Linked DNA regions of Tribolium castaneum. The protein of the gene in region 1 purifies or fractionates together with the protein of each later gene. This does not show direct contact. Links are inferred from orthologs where the notes say so. Each region holds a gene or a part of one and is shown in the gene's direction. Other genes may lie near its edges.

What was found. The genes of interacting proteins can lie anywhere in the genome.
Region 2: the proteins of neutral amino acid transporter 9 (region 1) and Lamtor1 purify together in Homo sapiens (co-immunoprecipitation; 5 studies listed by BioGRID and IntAct, with this or other methods). This does not show direct contact. The link is inferred for Tribolium castaneum from reciprocal best matches to the Homo sapiens genes SLC38A9 and LAMTOR1.

Annotation. Positions count from the first base shown.
Region 1 is NC_087401.1:13,689,994-13,693,754, reverse strand, and holds the end of neutral amino acid transporter 9, read left to right. Parts: exon of another isoform or gene 1-284; intron 285-2,237; coding exon 2,238-2,453; intron 2,454-2,504; coding exon 2,505-2,701; intron 2,702-2,753; coding exon 2,754-2,858; intron 2,859-2,912; coding exon 2,913-3,169; intron 3,170-3,223; coding exon 3,224-3,398; 3' UTR 3,399-3,445; downstream 3,446-3,761.
Region 2 is NC_087402.1:9,797,090-9,799,979, forward strand, and holds Lamtor1 (ragulator complex protein LAMTOR1), read left to right. Parts: upstream 1-1,302; 5' UTR 1,303-1,441; coding exon 1,442-1,489; intron 1,490-1,532; coding exon 1,533-1,699; intron 1,700-1,747; coding exon 1,748-1,961; intron 1,962-2,006; coding exon 2,007-2,102; 3' UTR 2,103-2,279; downstream 2,280-2,890. Other genes in the region: protein YIPF1, read right to left, coding at 2,280-2,890. UniProt on the Homo sapiens protein: Key component of the Ragulator complex, a multiprotein complex involved in amino acid sensing and activation of mTORC1, a signaling complex promoting cell growth in response to growth factors, energy levels, and amino acids.

The DNA of each region.
Region 1 (3,761 bases):
AAAAATTAAAACGGATTCAGAATCCTTGAATAATTATGCTTATGAAAAGCTAAATTATCTGGTTTTTGAACTGTCTAATTTCAACAAAAAAATTAAAAGCACTAGATACAACTAAACTTTATCTTTACGAACCAAACTTTGGCCGATACCTCAAAAACTGTTAGCCGTAGATGAAAAATAAGGACAGTTTTGGAATCCTCAGACTATTTTACGTAAGAAAAACTTACTTTACAGATGGTTTGACTCTCCAGATTACCAAAAATAATTAAATAAAATATTCAGAAGTGTTTGTTTTTTTAACAAACTACATTTTAATCAGTTCTTCAAACTTTGACCGATATCTCAAAAAGTGTTGCCTCTAGATGAAGAATAAAGACAGATTTCGGAATCCTCAAACTTTTTTACGTAAGAAAAACTTACTTTACAGATGGTGTGATTCTCCAGAATACATAAATAAATTAATTAAATGTTCAAAAGTAACAAACTACATTTTAATTAAACTTTGACTGATATCTCAAAAACTATTATCTCTAGGTGAAAAATAAGGACAGTTTTGGAATCCTCAGACTATTTTACGTAAGAAACACTTACTTTACAGATGGTGTGATTCTCCAGAATACCATAAATAAATAAATTAAATGTTCAGAAGTAACAAACTACATTTTAATAAGTTCTTTAAACTTTGACCGATATCTCAAAAACTATTGCCTCTAGATGAAAAATAAAGACATTTTTGGAATCCTCAGACTTTTTTACGTCAGAAAAACTTACTTTACAGATGGTGTGATTCTCCAGAATACCATAAATAAATTAATTAAATGTTCAGAAGTAACAAACTACATTTTAATAAGTTCTTTAAACTTTGACCGATATCTCAAAAACTATTGTCTCTAGATGAAAAATAAGGACAGTTACGGAATCCTCAGACTTTTTTACGTCAGAAAAACTTATTTTACAGATGGTTTACTCTCCAGATTACCATAAATAAATAAATTAAATGTTCAGAAGTAACAAACTACATTTTAATAAGTTCTTTAAACTTTGACCGATATCTCAAAAACTATTGTCTCTAGATGAAAAATAAGGACAGTTACGGAATCCTCAGACTTTTTTACGTCAGAAAAACTTATTTTACAGATGGTTTACTCTCCAGATTACCATAAATAAATAAATTAAATGTTCAGAAGTAACAAACTACATTTTAATAAGTTCTTTAAACTTTGACCGATATCTCAAAAACTATTGTCTCTAGATGAAAAATAAAGACATTTTTGGAATCCTCAGACTATTTTACGTAAGGAAAACTTACTTTACAGATGGTGTGATTCTCCAGAATACCATAAATAAATAAATTAAATGTTCAGAAGTAACAAACTACATTTTAATAAGTTCTTTAAACTTTGACCGATATCTCAAAAACTATTGTCTCTAGATGAAAAATAAGGACAGTTACGGAATCCTCAGACTTTTTTACGTCAGAAAAACTTATTTTACAGATAGTTTACTCTCCAGATTACCATAAATAAATAAATTAAATGTTCAGAAGTAACAAACTACATTTTAATAAGTTCTTTAAACTTTGACCGATATCTCAAAAACTATTGTCTCTAGATGAAAAATAAGGACAGTTACGGAATCCTCAGACTTTTTTACGTCAGAAAAACTTATTTTACAGATGGTTTACTCTCCAGATTACCATAAATAAATAAATTAAATGTTCAGAAGTAACAAACTACATTTTAATAAGTTCTTTAAACTTTGACCGATATCTCAAAAACTATTGTCTCTAGATGAAAAATAAAGACATTTTTGGAATCCTCAGACTATTTTACGTAAGGAAAACTTACTTTACAGATGGTGTGATTCTCCAGAATACCATAAATAAATAAATTAAATGTTCAGAAGTAACAAACTACATTTTAATAAGTTCTTTAAACTTTGACCGATATCTCAAAAACTATTGTCTCTAGATGAAAAATAAGGACAGTTACGGAATCCTCAGACTCGTACGTAAGAAAAACCTACTTTACAGATTGTATGATTCTCCATAATACCAAAAATAATTAAATTAAATGTTCAGAAGTGTTTATTTTTAACCAAACACAAAATGATAGATTTTCGCTTTGACTATCATGGAAATTCAATTCAATTAATTTAAAACATGAATTTTTGAAACTTTATCAAGGTCAAAAAGCCGCAATCACTCTCAAACCCACATTAATTTCTGTCGTAAAAAGGAATTTTGCTACATTTGGACGACACTCCCGTCTCGAATGTCACAGTTTTGTGTCCCAAAAACGAAACAATCGTCCAAATCGCCACCAGTACGCCGACCAACCAATTCGCCCGAATCTGGGACTTGTATTCGACCGTACCTGTGATATTAGGCTTGATTATGTTTCCGATGTTGAACTGGAAGAGCCCAACTTTTTTCACAAAATTCAATAGTTTAGGTACGTTTTTGCCTGTTTGGAGTGGCAGCATTGCCAAAAGGCTGGTTTTAGGGACTTTCAGCGTTTTGTATTTAATTGTTTTCGTTGCAACCAAAGCGGGGATTTGGGGGATTAACATGCCAGACTGGGAGATTGAATTTTACATGAAACCGACTTTCTGTGCCCTCAGCGGAATGTTATCTTTGAGTTATTTCATTCACAACATTATCATTTCGATTATGAGGAACAACAAACACCAAGAACACAACGTATGTTGTTTTTTTAGTAACTAATTTTTAGTGGTTTTTATTAAAATTCTAGGGACGTGATTTGACAATTGCGTTCGGTTTGGTGACTTTCACTTATTTATTTATCGGAGTTGTTTTCTATGTTTGTTTTCCGTTACCGAAGTTCTGTATAGAGGATGTGAGTACGCATTATTACCAACCGAAATAGTAGTGGTACCAACTTTAATTTCAGAATATCTTAAATAATTTTAACAAATACGACGTTTTGACAATTATAGCTAGGATTTTGTTACTGTTTCAACTGTTTACTGTGTTTCCCCTGATTTCGTACATGTTGCGTAACGACGTGTTTGCCAACATTAACATGATTTTCAAAAATTACCGATTTGGGGAATTTACCTATCCGAGGGTTATGACACTTAATTTGGCCATTTTGGCAATTTGTATTTTATTTGCGTGTTTTCTTCCAAGAATAGGGACTTTAATCAGGTAAGAAAGTTAATTTGGTTACCATTTTGGTTATTGATTAAAGTATACTTGTAGATATACAGGGGCTTTAAGTGGTTTAGTCTACATTTTTATGTTGCCAAGTTTGTTAAAAATCGCCAGTTTGAAGAAGGAAGGAAGACTGACGACTCCGAAACTAATCTTCCATGCCGCTGTTATGATTCTCGGCAGTTTTAATCTTCTCTTACAATTCTTTATAAGTGATAAATAATTTTTTATTGTTGTTATGACTGATTCTAATAAAATATTTTTACAAAAAAATTCGTTTTATTGTCCTGACAATCATCAAAAGAAAGAATGATAAAATAGCAGTGGCGTAGTTGAAACGTTCTAAATATTTTTATCTCGACTTGGTGTTTGATCGTCCTTGTTTAATCTTATCAAACATGGAAGTAGAAAATCTGATGAAATATTCAACGAAATTGAATCAGCTGGTTTGATAGTAAACAAGACTATAAACCTTCAAGTGCATCGACTCCTTAAAATAAAATGTTTAAAATAATGGTGATAAGTACGAAAATATTTTGTTTTCTTGGGAAATACTATTCTAATTTTTTTAATTTGTTTACGCAAT
Region 2 (2,890 bases), on another chromosome or scaffold:
TGAAATAAACGCAGAAATGTTGAACCTTGTACTCTTGACACACTGAGAAAAACTGACGGTTAACTTTATTTTAAGAAACTTATTATGAAAAAAAAATTAATTTGCGCTTCGTCCCGTATTTTTCAAGACTGCGAATACGGTTAAAAATAAAAATTGAAGGTGGTCAAGTAACGGAAAGTTACTTTAGAGATAAACTATAGAAGATAGAAATATAGTGTCGGAAATTTTTGTAGGAAATTTATTTCTCCACAACTTTGTTCTTTACACTTTTTTTTGTTTCTTCAACTGTATTCCCAGCGTTTTGATAAGTATGCGACGGTGCTCAAAGATTTATCGCTTAGAATTATCAATTTGAGTTCCACCCAGAGATGGGCGTTCGAGTTGACTTTGATTGTCTACACGACGTGTCAATAATTACGTCGACAATGGTCGACAATGTCAACAATGAGAATTTGATGTTATGTTGTATTTTACGGCACATTTCTCTCTTATTTTATGGTCACATTTTCTTTTGAGAATGAAGACGAAGAGGATAAAGGCTGAAGCGTAAAAAAGATGAAAAAAGAGAATAATTAGTTTTTTCTTACTTTTTTTTGAGAATCTTATTTTTCTTTATTTATTTTTATACTTGTTTTTATATCACATTTTCTATTTTTTAAAGTTTTCTTACAAATACACTAATTTGATAGTCCAATACCGTCATTAAAATGTAAAAATTTATTGTTTCTGTATTGTTGACATAGTTGACATTGTTGACGTCACTTCAAATGTTGACGTCGACGTCACTGTTGACAGGTCAACAATTGAATTGTCTATCTTGTAATTGTTGACGCTCCTATCACTGGTTCCACCTTAAAGATACAAAAAAAATGTAATGAACAAAGCTGTAGAGAATTAAATTTTCTACAAAAAACTTCGGGACACCAGATATCTATATCTTCAGCGTTTTGAAAAATATGGGGCAGGGTGCAAATTGGTAAAGATTTGAATTTTTTTATATAGTTTATTATAAAAAATTTCCATTATGTTTATGTTTTACTATTGGGAATTTAATGCTCAATCTTCCTGTTTTATTTTTGTTTCATTATGTGTTACGCGTTATAAAAACAACCATTTTTTTTCTAATTCATTCCTCTAAAATTTTGGACGGTAACTTTTAGATATCCGTAGACCGGGTTTTAATTATTATAAGTGAAATATTTGTATCATTCATTAAACTAAATGCTTTATTAGAGCCAAATCTAACATTGGGACACTTTATTTATTTCAAAACTGGCGGCAAAAGTTGAATTTATGCGCGGCCGGTAAGAACGATCACCTGTCAATGATTTAACAATGACGTTTCGTGATGGTAAATAAAATAGGGAATTATTAACACTAACACTGATAAAAACTCGTCTTCATGATCTAAACTGTGTTTAAACGTCTTATATTTACAACCATGGGGTGCTGTTATAGTTTCTTTTGCAAGGATGATGGCTCATCTCAGGTAATAACAATTTGAATCAACAATAATACAGTTTAAACAATAGCACGGTGAGCCGAACGAAAGGACTCATCTTCTTGTGGACCCCGTATCAAACAACACAAACATACAAAGAGTAAATAGTGAGGATTTACTGTGTCATAACTCTAAATCTGCCCCCAAAAAGACTGACGAACAATCTGCACTTAATAGGATATTACAAGAAACGGCAACGTTGGTCCTTTATCAGCAATAACTCTCTTGTACATTGTTTGTTTACAGGAACGTAATAGACGTGGCTGCTTTAGATTCACACAACTTGCAGCAGCACGAATATGTTGATAGGATGAAACAATATAATCTCAAGGTGCAACAAGTTTGTGCTAGCAAAAAAAACAAACTAACGAATAGGCTTAAGACGTGTATTCTTGAGGATATTCCATGGACGGAGATAACCCTACAGTCTGAACCAATCAGCGCAGAGGACAGGAACTTGGTAACTCGTTAATTCTTATTAATTTCGATTAACCCTCTCCTGCAGATTACTGAAGCCCTGGAGAAAGCAGCTGTTGCGATTAATGATATTAAAGTCGAGCATAAGGAAGATTTAGTTGTGCCTTTCCGCATACCCTGCTAAGCTATCTCTATTATTTAAACATTAAGAAATCGTGACTTGTTCCTTGATATCAAGGAAGTGTGTTTGTGTTAAAGTGTGACATATCATTTCGTCTGGAGTCACAGTTTCTTCCGCTTGAAATAAGATCAAACCTTACATTATATTTGTATATTATTAGCGTTACAATTACAAATAAATTTATATTGATTTGGTATGGTTTTTATTTAAATCGTGGGATTCAATGACTGAAGTGGCAGGAACGTGGAAGAAGTACAACATGAAACCTGCCGCTAGTAACAGGTGACAGGAGGCGATCCCAATCATTAGAAAAAACTTGTGTCTTGAGAGCCTCAAAGCTGGCAATAAAGTGAAAAGTAAAACAGCCCCTGATACTAACGCAGCGATTAAAACAAGCAACCATTGCAACAAATTGATCTGAATGGACCATAGAATTGAGGCCGGGATGTAGATAAAGAGTGAATAACCGTAAATACAGATCAGTTCAAGCGCACTTGGAGTGGTGCCACTTTCCAGGCCCTCCAAGTCATTAACATCAGAACTCCACTTCAGCAAAGCCCACAAAGCGAAAGGGATTAACAAAACATAAATATAAATCGCCGTTGCGGCGTATGAAACTAAACGAAAGTTGTATTTCCAATGGTACTGATTATTCGCCTGTTGGAGATAATTAGCGATGTTTCCACTAATGGCAATCGTAAAAATTAAAGTGACCGATATCCAGAACGGCCCATACAAGTCGGGTTTATGACGAAGGTGGTGCTTCAAAGTACTGTCCCGTTTCGGCGTAA